3 linked regions of the Saccharomyces cerevisiae S288C genome follow. The gene in region 1 interacts genetically with each later gene. Each region holds a gene or a part of one and is shown on either strand. Other genes may lie near its edges.

The links.
Region 2: mutations in ZDS2 (region 1) and CDC15 impair growth when combined (synthetic growth defect), as found in Saccharomyces cerevisiae (one study listed by BioGRID).
Region 3: of ZDS2 (region 1) and CEG1, extra expression of one rescues a mutant of the other (dosage rescue), as found in Saccharomyces cerevisiae (2 studies listed by BioGRID).

What each region holds. Positions count from the first base shown.
Region 1 is NC_001145.3:50,042-55,560, reverse strand, and holds ZDS2 (Zds2p), read right to left. Parts: upstream 3,922-5,519; coding exon 1,093-3,921; downstream 1-1,092. Other genes in the region: PML39 (Pml39p), read left to right, coding at 1-296; YML108W (uncharacterized protein), read right to left, coding at 451-768; COQ5 (2-hexaprenyl-6-methoxy-1,4-benzoquinone methyltransferase), read left to right, coding at 4,607-5,519. UniProt on the Saccharomyces cerevisiae protein: Acts as a negative regulator of polarized growth via an alternative mechanism to ZDS1. In heat-stressed cells appears to play a role in localizing BCY1 to the cytoplasm. Seems to interact with, and down-regulate, CDC42. Also acts as a suppressor of PKC1.
Region 2 is NC_001133.9:171,406-177,398, reverse strand, and holds CDC15 (serine/threonine protein kinase CDC15), read left to right. Parts: upstream 1-2,263; coding exon 2,264-5,188; downstream 5,189-5,993. Other genes in the region: seripauperin PAU7, read left to right, coding at 376-543; serine/threonine protein kinase KIN3, read left to right, coding at 5,696-5,993. UniProt on the Saccharomyces cerevisiae protein: Protein kinase of the mitotic exit network (MEN) essential for late nuclear division in the mitotic cycle. Promotes mitotic exit by phosphorylating DBF2 and directly switching on DBF2 kinase activity.
Region 3 is NC_001139.9:264,058-268,310, reverse strand, and holds CEG1 (mRNA guanylyltransferase), read right to left. Parts: upstream 2,167-4,253; coding exon 787-2,166; downstream 1-786. Other genes in the region: mitochondrial 37S ribosomal protein mS29 RSM23, read left to right, coding at 1-588; DNA-binding E3 ubiquitin-protein ligase SNT2, read left to right, coding at 2,452-4,253. UniProt on the Saccharomyces cerevisiae protein: Second step of mRNA capping. Transfer of the GMP moiety of GTP to the 5'-diphosphate terminus of RNA via a covalent enzyme-GMP reaction intermediate.

The sequences.
Region 1 (5,519 bases):
AATTGGCATTTTTTTTCGATTGTAAAGACTATTCTCTCGTAGGTCTGTTGCTTCTCGGCTACACGAAATTCCAGAAGGATGATCTGGTTCAATGCACGGCTTGCTTTCATCGAGCATCCCTGAAGAAGTTAGAATATACAGAATTTAACGGACACGCTCTATGGTGTCGGTATTACAACAAAGAGTTGTTGCCCACAATGTTGCTGGAGTTAATCGGCAAGGAGGACAAACTAATAACGAAATTGGGCGTGGGAGAAAGACTAAATAAATTAGAGGCTGTTCTACAAACTTTATAAATTAGATGTAATACATTATCCAAATTCTCATATGCTTGTATATGCCCCCATGCTGATGCGCAGATTCTGTCACTCTCTCTTTAAATTACGTGCACATATGCATACGCAACAGTCACGTTATATTCATGCAAAAAACCGAAGCAACATCATTATTTCAGTTATTCTCTTCGACAAATTTCTTTACTTTTTCGACAACCTCTTCAATTTCCTTATCTAGCATAAGTACAATTAAACCATCGCTACTAATTTCGTATTTGATATGACCTTCGTTCGGTATACATATTTCGGCATCGAACTTATCAAACCAGGTATTTAATTCGTCCAGTTCGTCAACATTAAATGGAAGTATCAACTCGTCAACAAATTCATGCATTTTTCCCGGCTTACCTTTCAAAAATTTTTCATCTTCTTTATTTATCTTGGTGTCGTCTTCTAGTAAGACGAGCATCCTATAAGTATTACTCTTGGACATTTCGTTTTTCTCTTTCGTCTTAGTGTAGTACGAGATAGAATTCAACCGCAAGGTAGCCTTGCTGTATTGGACAGATCATTCGAATTTGTTCCAAATAGGATGAGATGAGGTCGGCTTTTCTTCATTCTCGCTAGAAAATTTAAAAAAAAAGAAAAAAATAATTACATAAATATATATTTATATGTATATACTGTAGTCCTTCCTTGCATGAAAAGACGACGTTTTTCGTGATAATAAGAAGTTTGACACTAAAAGGGCATCCTTACAATACTTGAAATATGTGGCCTTATATAGGTATCTATCAATCTTGTAAACAGTTATGAGTTAAATGTCTGGAATTAAGATTGTGCCATCAGAATCATTTTTGTCCATCATTCCCAAGGCAGAATCACCATTGAAGGCTATATCTCCAGTGCCCACCTGCTCCATGTATAAGGTATGATTGACTAAATTCAAGTAGGAGTACATGAAGTTACTTAGCAATACTTGTTGTCTTAATTCCCTCCCGGGATCGCTAAGCTTCAGATGGCTGAGTCTGTAAATAGCCCTTTCAACATTAATTCCTAGACGATGGTCAAACATAATCACTGTAGAGTTGGTTATCATTGGTAATGGGAATCCAAAAGCACTGTCTGTGAATTTTATTGGAGCGTTTGAGTAATCTGGTTTAACGACATCTTCAAATGTCAATTTTCTTGGAGGCAAAGTTGAGATTTGAGGGGCAGTAGGTGAAGTGTTGTCTTCTCTCTCTGCTCCTATATCCTCTTCTAGTCCAGCTGTCGTATCTCTACTGATACTAGAGTGCACTTCGACGTCGTAGTTTACATCACCACCACTAATATCAAATGAATCGTCGCCATCTAACTCGCTTATAGTTTCCACCACAAATTCAGAACTGTGGCTAGTATGGCTGTCAGGAAGAAGGGTGGAAGCATTTGAACTTCTCACTTCTGGTTCAATGACGCTTGCTGTATCTATATCTTCGGTGGTAATTGTTTTGGTGGGGGATGAAGGGCGTTCAACTTCCGCTTCTTGGGGCTTTTTCTTGGGACTTTTCCTGAATTTTGATAAACTCGAATGCGAAGCCTTCTTTTTCAGTTCTTTTTTAACACTTTTTTTGATTACTTTCACATCTGATTTGCAGGTACCATTATGTTGTTTTCTTTTGAATAATTTGGCAAGCCTTTTCTCCAAGGAATTTTTCTTATGTGTACTGGCTTGGGTGTCAGTAGGCAGTTCTACCTTTTTCTCCACGACTGCCGGTGCAGTAGGCTTAGATGGCTGGGATTCAGATGAAGAAACGACTGAAGGAGTGATTACCACGGATTTTGCTTCTTCAGAATGTATCTGGAAAATTGGCGAATGTCTATTTTTGGAATGGTTTATTCTTTCAGAGGCACGTTTGGTAGATTTCGCTCTCCTCGATACACTCAAGTTAACAAAGTCAGCTTTTTCATTGTCCACACATTCTTCATCGTCTTCATCATCTGTAAGCTGTTGATAAGTTTGTTCATTAGCGTTCAAACTTCCATTGCTAGAATTCAACCATGACCAGCCATGATTTGCTTCGCTGTTATTGGTATTTGATTTTTCACTCGAGCTAACGTGCTGATCCAATTTTTCAGAAATCATCGAACCAGTGTTATGCGGCTTTATTAAAACGCTGTTGTTAGAACTATCTGTAGATAAAAGACTGCTCTCTTGAGAAATAGATGCATGTGTCAAATCTTCTTCATCCGAATAGTAGTTGGTGCTATCAACGTATTTCTCATTTTCGGTACTCCAATCAGTACTTGTTCTTCTGTAATGGTCGAAAATCTCGTGAAAATCATTCAATGATGCTTGCTCCTGAGGCACTTGTGTGTAGGAGGCAGGCGATGATGCACTTCTGCGATTGTCATTAGTTTGTATATTCATTAGGCTATTGAGTTTTACCGCCTGTGGAAGGCTACTACCCTCTAGTCTGATCTTATATGTGTTGAATTTAGACCTCCTTAGAGAAGATCTCTCTGGTATGGTAAGTCCAGTTTCATTAAACATATTTGATGCAAATTCGTTATCATTTTCAGTGTGATTGCCGTTCAAATGAAGACTTTCGTTGGTAAATGACCCTGACATGCTCAAGCTTCTGGCTAAAGTCACCGCATCTGAGTCCGTTAAACCGGCATTATTGGAAATCTTAGTAAGCTCTTCAGTAATTTCTTTCAAAGATACAGATCTTATGGTTTTGATGTCAGATGAGGATATTCGCTTATCCACTTGTATTTCTCCTTCTTGTGGTTTGTCTGCAAGGGGAGGTTCGTCATCAAACTTGGTATAAGATGTCTTCAACCGAGAAGGCCTTCTAACTACAGAGCCCGTGCGTTTTCTATTCGAAATTACATGATTGTTACCCAGTTCTAATTTGTTTTCATCAATGTCTTGATTTGTGCTTATTTGAATGTTTTGTAAAGTGTCCTGGATCAATTCCAAATAGTTTTCGGGCTTAACGTTAGGATGTTGGTCAGCGGGCACCCACAAAAGGTTTTGAGTTAAATCAACCATTTTTGAATCGTGGTCGTTCTCCACATCCAATACAACATCGTGAGCCAATGTCTTTACTCCACTGAGCCTTCTGTTCCTCGACGTTACTCTTGCTGAAGATGAAGTGGATGAAGAAGCATTACGGATGATTTTTTCCTTCTCCAATGTTTCTTCATCATGCAAATACTCTGTTTGAGTGATATCTATACTGTCGTCGACATTAGTAGCATCGCCCTCTTCATATGCATCATTGTCTTCGCTCCCTTGTTCTTCCTTTTGTTCTGATCGTATAATGTTCTCTTCATGGAGCGATTCTTGAAGGGATTCCTTTGAGGAATCTGAAGAATATGAGTTTCTACTGTTCACTTTGAACTCTAGCTCAGGGTCAATTACCAAATCCATTGAACCAATCGACAATCGCTTCAAATTTTTCACATTCTGAATTTCTGTATCTAAAGACTTGGCAGCAATTAACACGTCAGATTTCCTCTTCTCAAAAAGCTCCTTCTTGGACAGCTGTGTCTTCCTCATTCGCCTCATTTGAATATTATTATTACTGTCCGTACCACCACTACTGTTTTCTACAGTATTATGGCCATCTTTGTTTTGCATATCTTCCATCAGTACCATAAAATTCTAATTTAAATTCAGTCTATAGTGCAAACGTGATCAATGTAAAGTATACGATACTACTAACCTTGACACTGTTCTTTAGCGTTTTACTCCAGTTTTCAATCATATTATTATGATCTAACGAAGATGAGATGAAAACAAAAATAAGACGCGGCGTGTGCTACCCGCACAACGCGTCAGCAAATGTTACTGGTCACAATAATCATGCACTTATAATTAGCTACAAAAGGCCACTTCTAGGTCCAATGTGACCATTTTGCAGCCAAATCAAGCATAAACCGGCCGTGATACTATCGGCGATACACAGCCTAAATTTCTGAGTTTTGCGGTTTTCTCTGTGGGAAAAGTGCGAGAATTTTTCTGAATTGGGAAGAGTACATGTCAAAAACGGGAAGTGACACCATTGAGCAAATATCAAGGTATCCGATAGTTCTGTTCTCGATATTGGAACACAGTTATTTGGCAAATGTATCATTAAATGAAAGTCTTTCCGTATAGGATTCTGCCCTGTTGCCTGCTCTTCCCTAATATGGAAACTAGCTTCCGCATTTGACAAAAACTGAAAAAGTGGAAAAAAAAGGATCACACAAGAAACTATAAGGATATCTGCCACCTTCACTCCTTATACAGCTGCTGTTACAATTGCAAAGGGAATAGTACAGATCGCAGCAAGAAAGATATAATGTTGATTTCTTCACGGATCGTTCGAAGCTCGCTGGTAAATGTCCCGCTAAGATTATCTAGGTGTTTTACGCAAGCTCACAGAGCATGCAAAGAAGAAGAAGTTAATAGTCCTTTATCATCCGCAGCTGAACAGCCAGAGCAGAAGTATACGCATTTTGGTTCGAAGACTGTATTGAAGTCTACCAAGCAGAAGTTAGTTGGTGATGTCTTTTCTTCCGTGGCCAATCGGTATGACTTGATGAATGATGTTATGTCATTAGGAATTCATAGATTGTGGAAGGACCATTTTATCAATAAACTAGATGCGGGAAAAAGGCCAAACTCTACGACTCCTTTGAACTTCATAGATGTGGCTGGGGGATCCGGTGATATTGCTTTCGGATTACTAGACCATGCTGAGTCGAAATTTGGTGACACTGAGTCTACAATGGATATTGTAGATATCAACCCTGACATGCTTAAAGAAGGTGAGAAGAGAGCCATGGAACAAGGAAAATATTTCAAGGATCCTCGTGTGAGATTTTTGGTTTCTAATGGTGAGAAACTAGAGGAGATTGATTCTGATTCCAAGGACATCTACACAGTCTCCTTCGGTATCAGAAATTTCACCGATATTCAAAAGGGTTTAAACACTGCTTATAGAGTTTTGAAACCGGGCGGTATTTTTTATTGTCTAGAATTTTCCAAAATTGAGAATCCCCTAATGGACTTTGCTTACCAACAGTGGGCTAAGGTCCTACCTGTAATGGGCTCGATGATTGCTAATGACTACGACTCTTACCAGTATTTGGTGGAGTCTATCGAAAGATTTCCTGACCAAGAAACGTTCAAATCCATGATTGAGAAGGCAGGATTCAAATCTGCTGGCTACGAAAGTTTAACTTTTGGTATATGTGCCATCCATTGGGGCA
Region 2 (5,993 bases), on another chromosome or scaffold:
AATTTGGCTTTGGTTCTATTTCTTGGCCAAAACTGCAGCTGCAGCCCTATAGGCACTTTTCCTGTAGAGAACATTCTTGTGCTATGGAACATATGAAAGGATGGGGCATAAAAAAACGGCTTCCTATACGAAGTATAGCATCGTTCAAGAACAACCCGTCCCCATAGTAATAATGACTTAGTCGCTAAGTGGAATGTGGAAGGCATGAGTGTGAGATGGGCGACCAGTAAGAGCCCATGTGTGCAGATGTAGTTGTTCAAAGTTTCATATAAATACAGCGGCTTGATCAGCTTTGTTTGAGACATTTCTCTGTTCTTTTCCTTCCAGTTAAGCCTATATCATCACTAAGCAATAACCCAAAAAACAACAAATACAATGGTCAAATTAACTTCAATCGCTGCCGGTGTCGCCGCCATTGCTGCTGGTGCCTCCGCCGCAGCAACCACTACATTATCTCAATCTGACGAAAGAGTTAATTTGGTTGAATTAGGTGTTTATGTTTCCGATATCAGAGCTCATTTGGCTGAATACTACTCTTTCTAAGCTGCTCACCCAACTGAAACTTATCCAGTTGAAATTGCAGAAGCTGTTTTCAACTACGGTGATTTCACCACCATGTTGACTGGTATTCCCGCCGACCAAGTTACCAGAGTTATCACTGGTGTTCCATGGTACTCCAGCAGATTAAAGCCAGCTATCTCTAGTGCTCTATCCGTAGACGGTATCTACACTATCGCAAACTAGAGTCCCTGCTTTACGAATGAAACCTGTACAGGTATGAGAGGTTACGAAAAAAAATGATAAATGAAAAAAAAAAAGCTTAATAATATGAAATTAATAGTATGAATAGTTAGGCGCATGTATATAAATATAAATTTTTGTATATATGTATTATTAATATTATAAATTTCTTATTATTAAACCATCCTTTACGGAAATAACGGCCTATTCCCTTAGTATTTTGTTGTAGCTCGTGGAGTTATCCATTTTAAATGGATCTTGGGATAATTTTTACTGCTTCCCTCGTACTGGGAGCTTAATACACGTTCGTCTTGTTATCATCATAAATATGTGTTTATTATTCTCGCCTGGAAGGAAATCTTCAGTATAAATTCGTGAGGAATTTAGAATATAAATAATTCAATCATAAGAAAACATAAAAAGATCAAGTAAATAATAGAGGCATACAAGCATAACCAAATAGTACTATAAACAATTTTAAATTACACGTAAGAGATAATGGGTTATAAAGTATGTTTTTTTAAGCCATTACTGCAGCGTTCTTTATCATTATTTGAGTTCGAATGTGGAAAATGACGACTGAAATTTATAAGATAAAATATTCGAACTATATAGAAGAAAATTTTACACTCTTCGCCTTTGAAAAACATGAGTGAATGTCCTTGATCGTTATTTGGCCTTCTGAAACTGTCCATATGGGTTATTTTGAGTTCCTTATAAAGGCTTGGCGCATTATCGAATATCGTTTAGTAAAATTTATGATCCACTTGCATCGGCATGGGCATGAGCAGTACTCATTACAAAATCCAAATCAGTGATATTTACAGTAGTCACAAATTACTGTTATTTTTTATCCATTTTTGTAGTTTTTGTACAAATATACTATTGGAAATAGAAAAAAATTCCTTTGAAAGGATCAATTTTAAGTGGTAAATAGAATGAACAAGCCCAGGACAATGGATTCAGAAGGGGCCTTATCGTGTCTCATAGATATTTTTCTTCTCGGTAACCTTTCAGTAATTTCTTGAGCACGAACTCGAAGCGTTTCATCAGGTATTTCATAACTATGCATGATTTTTGATGGCTTTGCATCATATTAGAAGAAAATTTTGCAGCTGAAGAGCTCTAATACGGCTTTTCTGTGGTCGTAAAGACAAGGCTGTTCATAACGCTTGTTGCCATTATGTAGCTTTGCACATCTCATATCGGTAAGGATGTCGTTTGTCATCTAGCGGCGAACTACTGTAATGTAATAATGTCCTCTGGCGTCGTGTATGGAAAAGAGGCATAATCAAAATTGGGCCTATCAACTCATTAGCACTCTATGCTATACTGTAGTGCTCTGTGCGGACTTTGCTGTGCCATTATAATCCTTTCCACCTTGCGATGGTCTTTCCGCTTTTCTTGCTGTTATTTTTGTATACGGGAGATCTGCCTCACAAAAGGTATATCTTCTACTTGGAGGCTCGAGGAAGGACAAAACACACATAAGCACTACCCATTTTCCTGGTAAGACTATACCATGAACAGTATGGCCGATACCGATAGAGTCAACTTGACTCCCATCCAGAGGGCATCTGAGAAATCCGTGCAATACCACTTGAAGCAGGTCATTGGGAGGGGTTCTTACGGGGTAGTTTACAAAGCCATTAATAAACATACTGACCAAGTCGTGGCAATAAAGGAGGTCGTGTACGAAAATGATGAGGAACTTAATGACATTATGGCAGAAATTAGCTTGTTAAAAAATTTAAACCATAACAATATTGTTAAATACCACGGCTTCATACGAAAAAGCTATGAATTGTATATCCTCCTCGAATACTGCGCTAATGGTTCTTTGAGGAGGCTCATTTCAAGGAGCTCTACCGGATTAAGTGAAAATGAATCGAAAACCTATGTGACACAGACACTATTGGGGCTGAAATATTTACACGGTGAAGGAGTCATCCACAGGGACATCAAGGCGGCTAACATCCTGCTGAGTGCTGATAACACTGTCAAACTTGCTGATTTTGGCGTTTCCACTATTGTGAACTCCAGCGCCTTAACGCTAGCGGGCACACTCAATTGGATGGCTCCAGAGATCCTGGGCAACAGGGGAGCTTCTACGCTCAGCGACATTTGGTCTCTAGGTGCCACTGTAGTTGAAATGCTCACAAAGAATCCACCCTACCACAATTTGACAGACGCCAATATCTACTACGCTGTTGAAAATGATACCTACTACCCACCTAGCTCTTTCTCTGAGCCACTAAAGGATTTCTTATCTAAATGCTTTGTGAAAAACATGTACAAGAGGCCGACAGCCGACCAGTTACTCAAGCATGTGTGGATCAACTCTACCGAAAATGTGAAGGTCGACAAGCTCAACAAGTTCAAGGAGGACTTTACCGACGCTGATTATCATTGGGATGCCGATTTTCAAGAAGAGAAACTAAATATATCACCCTCTAAATTCAGTCTTGCAGCGGCTCCCGCTGCCTGGGCAGAAAACAATCAAGAACTAGATTTAATGCCCCCCACTGAAAGTCAATTGCTGAGCCAATTGAAGAGTTCATCTAAGCCTTTGACGGACTTGCATGTGCTTTTCAGTGTTTGCTCCCTCGAGAACATCGCTGATACAATTATCGAGTGTCTGTCGCGCACAACTGTTGATAAACGATTAATAACTGCATTTGGCTCCATTTTTGTTTACGATACCCAGCATAACCACTCTAGGTTGCGACTGAAATTCATCGCTATGGGAGGAATTCCACTGATCATTAAATTCGAACATTTAGCCAAAGAGTTCGTCATCGACTACCCTCAGACTTTAATTGAATGTGGAATAATGTATCCTCCGAATTTTGCATCGCTGAAAACCCCAAAGTATATTTTAGAACTCGTCTATAGGTTCTACGATTTAACATCCACAGCCTTCTGGTGTCGCTGGTGTTTCAAACACCTCGATATATCACTCCTTCTGAATAACATCCATGAAAGAAGAGCCCAATCCATACTACTAAAGCTATCGTCATATGCACCATGGTCTTTTGAGAAAATTTTGCCCTCTTTAATTGACTCTAAGCTAAAAAAGAAAATTTTAATCAGTCCTCAAATTACTTACGTAGTCTTCAAATCAATAAACTATATGATAACCACGAATGACGATAAAATACACAAGTCCGCTATTCCTTCTTCTTCCTCTCTACCGTTATCCTCCTCACCCACGAGGAACTCACCAGTGAATTCGGTACAGTCTCCATCAAGGTCCCCTGTTCATTCTTTGATGGCAACGCGTCCCTCTTCTCCAATGCGACACAAGAGCATTTCAAACTTTCCCCATCTGACCATATCTTCAAAATCAAGACTACTAATTGAATTACCGGAGGGTTTCTTTACCTGGCTAACATCTTTTTTTGTTGACATGGCCCAAATCAAAGATTTATCTGTTTTAAAGTACTTCACCAAGCTTTGTTACCTTACAGTACATATAAACAGCACTTTTTTAAATGATCTGCTTGACAACGATGCTTTTTTTGCTTTTATCCGGAATATTGATACCATCATTCCCTTTATCGACGACGCAAAGACAGCAGCTTTCATTTGGAAACAAATCACTGCTATATGCGTTGAAATGAGTTTGGATATGGACCAAATGAGTGCTTCTTTATTTTCTACAGCTATGAATTTCATCAGAAAAAAGAATAACACCTCCATAAGTGGACTGGAGATCATACTGAACTGCTTGCATTTTACGTTACGCAATGTAAATGATGATGTGGCTCCTACAGTGGGCTCATCAGAGTCTCATAGTGTTTTCCTCATAAAGGTCAACAATGACGCTGCTATTGAATTACCGATTGATCAATTAGTTGACCTGTTTTATGCATTGAATGACGATGACGTTAACCTCAGTAAACTAATTAGCATTTTCACGAAGATATGCTCATTGCCCGGTTTTGAAAACCTTACAATTAATATCATATTTCACCCGAACTTTTATGAAAAGATTGTTTCTTTCTTTGATACCTATTTCAACAGTTTACTTATTCAAATCGATCTATTGAAATTCATAAAGCTAATATTCTCAAAATCGTTATTGAAGCTATATGACTACACAGGACAGCCGGATCCTATAAAGCAAACCGAACCAAATCGTCGTAATAAGGCCACTGTTTTCAAACTTCGTGCCATTTTAGTACAAATAACGGAGTTTTTAAACAACAACTGGAACAAGGATGTCCCAAAAAGGAATTCAAATCAAGTTGGGGGGGACTCAGTTTTGATCTGTCAGCTATGTGAGGATATCCGTTCATTATCAAAAAAAGGAAGCCTGCAAAAAGTTTCAAGCGTCACTGCAGCAATTGGTAGTTCTCCAACAAAAGATGAGCGTAGTAATTTGCGATCCTCCAAAGATAAAAGTGACGGCTTTTCCGTCCCCATTACAACATTTCAAACATAATGTAGGAATTGCATGTGCATACATACATATATAGAGAAATAATACAGCATTACATTAACACTATATATAGAATTGTGAACCTTCCAATACTGAAAACGCATCTGTTTGGAAAAGAGATCAGAAAAGTTTTTGAATTTAAAGAGGCCAGTAATGATAAAAAAGCATATACATATATATGCTTTTTTTCTTTTCTTTTTTTTTTCAATTGGGGATTAAATGTATGAACGACTCAAAGTGCATTTTGTTAAATGTTTCTAGCTATAGATCAATAAATCTGAAATACGATATCTGACATGATTGCAGTGGCACAGTCTTCCGATAGGTTACAGCCAAGTTTTTTTTTTAAGGTTTCTGAATTTTTTCATTACGTTTCCTAATTAGGTTAAACGTAAATAAAAGCGACTTTTCAAAAGAATATCAAATCATATAACATGAAAAGAGCAAGATTCACAATACTAATTTCAATGAGAGTGCTATTTGATAATTGAATCAATTCTCTGTGTGAGTATGCATAGACGACAGTTTTTCCAAGAATACCGTAGTCCTCAGCAGCAGCAGGGACACCCACCAAGGTCAGAATACCAAGTTCTCGAAGAAATTGGGAGAGGTTCATTTGGGTCTGTACGAAAAGTCATCCATATACCTACCAAGAAACTTTTGGTTAGAAAGGATATCAAATATGGCCATATGAATAGCAAAGAGAGACAACAGCTGATCGCTGAATGTAGCATTCTATCGCAGTTGAAGCATGAAAATATTGTAGAATTTTATAACTGGGACTTCGATGAACAAAAAGAAGTGTTAT
Region 3 (4,253 bases), on another chromosome or scaffold:
TTAGATTTGTTATCCGTAATGACCCACCCGCATAATCGTGGAAAACTAATGAAAGCCATTATTGATGAGTTATCTGTCCAATCCAAGGTGCCAATCATGTTTACAGTGGATAATTTTTCAAAAGTGTTAACTACTGCATATTCTGCGTACAGAAATACAGAGAATAAACAAATATATTCCCTGGATTTACAAATGGGTAAATTGATGATGGACATTATTTCAGGAGAGACGAAATTTGCTAATGGTGAGAGTTCTACTATATTAGCTATATCCGGCGTTGACAGGACAAACAAAACTTTACCCGTGGCATTGGGCAAGATCCCAGTAGACCCCTATGTTACTAGATATCACTATGAACCGAAGTTCGTAGAATTGCTCCAAAAAGGTAATGTCACCGAATTCGAGGTTCCTAAACTGAACAAACAGGAAGTTAACGAACTAATCGATTACTACAAACAATCAAATGTTTTATTAGACAAGGATATCACAGGAAAAAAGTGGGAGAACTTGATTGACGAAAAATATTTCCTAAGTGGTAACGGTAACCCAAGAGAATTATTGAAAAGTTTAGTCCTTTCCCATAGGTGATAAGCATGCGCATATATATACATGTATATGCGTATATAACACTTTCACCCTCGCTTCTCAAAATTCTCCCATTTCTCATGTACATATAAATAGATAACTAACTGAATTAATTTAGCAAAAGCAATTGCTTTTGCTTTTCTATCTTATTCATACACAAAATTCTTACACCGATATATGTCGATACGAACACTTCTTAGCCTAATCCGACCAATCATCCTCGTCTACATATTTTGGCTCCTTATCATTACTTGGGGGCTGTGAATGGACTGGCTTAGAGGTAGATAATGTCGCATTTTGACTTTGAGACGGTAGTGGTCTCCCACTACCACCAGCCATATTTGCTCTTCTCTCGTCCCAGCACCTTTTAATATCACCAACAATTTCCTCGAGGTCCTCCAATGAAACTGAATCGTTGATACTCTCCAAAACTTTCTGGACCACCGATGTATGATTACCATTTAACTTATCATCCCTGAATCTTAACATTTCCCACGCCCCAGTCTCTTGGTTTTTTGCGCACTCTACTATTCTACCATTTAATGGCTGTTCTAGGTTCTTCAAATTTTGCCATTCCTCATCTGAAACGCTCAACTCTGCAAATTTTCTGTATGTTCTTTCTAATATTTCAAATTCCTTCCTATCGAAAGGCTGGTCGAAATGTTTTAAACGTGAATTGACATCAGCTCCGCCTTGCCAGACATATAAGCTGAAAACTGGCTTAACGTCATAATTGTAATACCACCTGTTCCGATCATCTTTAGGCAAAGAAGGATCCTCCACCATTGGGATATCTAAAATCAATTTGAAGTCCACGGTGTTTTCTTGTTCTGGCTTCCATTTTAATAACAATGAATCTTTTCCGCCGGCAGTGTAAGGTGCCTTCACAGGAGTAAATATCAGACCATCAGAAAGATGTGGTAGTTTATCTAAACTTTTAGCAACTTTTACTAATTGGTAACTGAAATCCATATGTTTCATGGAAATTTTGAACGGAAAAGTAGTACAACGATTAGGGTACGCTGCTCTTAAATCGAAGTATGGTTTAAAAAATTCTTTTCCAAGGTGGGCTAGTCTAGAACTTGTTGGTGATTGTGTGAGACATCTACCATTGATAGCAAGACAATCGAACATTAAATAACGCAACTCTTGTAATTTTGTCATTGGGTTAGTTTGTATGACAAGTTCACCATCTAATAAGGTGCCATCTTGAAGAGTCTCTAGCAGCTCTTCTTTCTTCTTTTGGGGTAATCTGGGAAACCTAAATCCATTAACCAGATAATAGTTATTTTCCCTATCAATCATAAAGCATCCTTGCTCACCCGTCACAGGATTTATCACTATAAACATCAACACCCGCAGACCATCTGTTTTCTCACAAACGTAGTAATCATGCGCAAGCAGCTTCTCTTCCACATCAGAATGCTGAAAGGACACAGGCTGGGAACCAGGGAATGTTTTCGTAGGTTTTGGGGAATTCAATAATTTACAGACCATCATCTTCAAGTCTTGCGTGACATTCCCAGGTTGAATGAGCCCAGGAATTTCCGGTGCCACTCTACTTTCCATTGCTAAAACCATATTTGTTAAATTAGCGGTCGATTCGTATTTGCTTATTCCGTTAGTTAGCTTTAGTTTAGATATAACAGATCGTATTCCACCATTTCTTTCGTTATTTTCTGCAATGAACTATTTATTATACTAGGTTACGCTTCGGAGCGACTGACCCGAACATCATGGAGAACTATATATATTTTATGATATTGCTTTCAAAAGGACTAAAAATAAAATGCCATCGAACTATCTGGTGGCAAAATTGGCCTATCGGGACATATTGAGATCATCTGCCTTTCAGCTGGTCACGCTATGCCTAAAGAAGAAGATTTCCAATTACCTAGAAGAAGAGAGGCTGCTAAAAACGTGAATTATAATGAAATGGAAATAGATACTAAATTAGTTCAACAAATACAAATAGCGGAAAAAAGTGGTGCTAAGACCAAGGGTAGCAATAGCCAAACTCCCAGGAATTGTAAAAGGACAAGCAATCCAGCTAGTAGAAACGAGAAATTCAAGTACCAAAAATTCCTTCATGATAAGAATACTTGCTGGAACTTTATCCCTACATTACCCCCTTCGTTCAGAAAGAATAGCAGATTCTCTAACATACTTGATCTAGATGATGCCATGATTGACTTGAAAAAGATGTCTCTTTTCAATACAGAATCTGTCCTTTTATCTGCGAACGACACTATTTATATGATATCAGAGCCTGCTGGCGAGCCTTATTATGTTGGCAGAGTTGTAAATTTTGTTAGTAAACCAGAATTTTCTAACACTATTCATGAAGCTATAAAGACAACATCGGTCTTCCCTGCTAAATTTTTTCAAGTTAGAATGAATTGGTTTTATCGTCCTAGGGATATTCAAGAGCACGTAAATACTTTTAACCCAAGGTTGGTGTATGCATCATTACACCAGGACATATGTCCTATTTCATCATACAGGGGAAAATGTAGTATATTTCATAAAGACGAAGTTTTTGATGTTCTTCCTAATGAGAAGGAATGCATTATACGACCCAATATCTTTTACTTTGATGAACTTTTTGACAGATATACTTTGAAATATTACAAAGTTTACAGCACGGATAAAATATTAAATAAATGGAACAGTAAGTCGCCATTTCTTTATGTTTTGAATAGGAGATTTCGTTATATCTATACAGAACCGAAGTATCCATTGGAGAACGTTTTGAAGAAATACGTTTTCCATGAACTAGAGGTAAACGAATTAAGTCCTGCAGACTACCAATGGGATAAAAGATGTCAGTTCTGTAAAGAATGGTGTATCCAAAAGGAGAGCCTTTCATGTGATGAATGCGGCGTTTGTGCACATCTATACTGTATGGATCCGCCACTTGACAGGAAGCCGAACAAAGACGTCGTTTGGACCTGCTTCAGTTGCTTACAGAAACAACAAGGTACTAAGGACTCGCATGTTAGGTTTCTAGAAGAACAAGCACTGGAACTGGATTTTATTCGCTCTGTAAGACAAAAAATTGAAGAAATTTCTAGCAAAGCTATCAAAGAGAATGTTGGTTATAATACCGAAAATTGCTGGTTTCAATACTTAGGAATATATTCCATTTCTCATATTGGTGACGCATTAAATGATTCTATGTTTTTTCCATATCCTTTCAAACCCTCTAGGGTAGGAGTGAAGTATCAATGGAACGGATGTAATCATAATGTGCCCTGGAGGCGGAACTCGTATATAAGTGCAAATTCAGAAGAAGAGCGAGGCTCAACGAAAACTTCGGAACTAGCATGGGTACTTGATGCATCAAAAATTACTACTCGAAAATTGAGTGAATATATTGAACAATGCAAAAGCGAAATATGCCCTATTCTCAATGTGAGAGGTGAGACTTGTAATTTCATTGATGTAGTCCTAAAGAATTTATTATTTACAAATTATGATACAGCAGAGGCATTTAAAAAATGTAAAAGGGAGCTTTCCAGAAAATTTTTGAAAGAGCCAAGTTTTACCGCCGTGGAGATCCGAAAGTTTGAGGAAGCTGTCGAGAAATTTGGGAGTGAATTACGCCCAGTGTGTGAGTATGTGGGCACTCAACCTATGTCGATGATTGTTAGATTTTATTACAATTG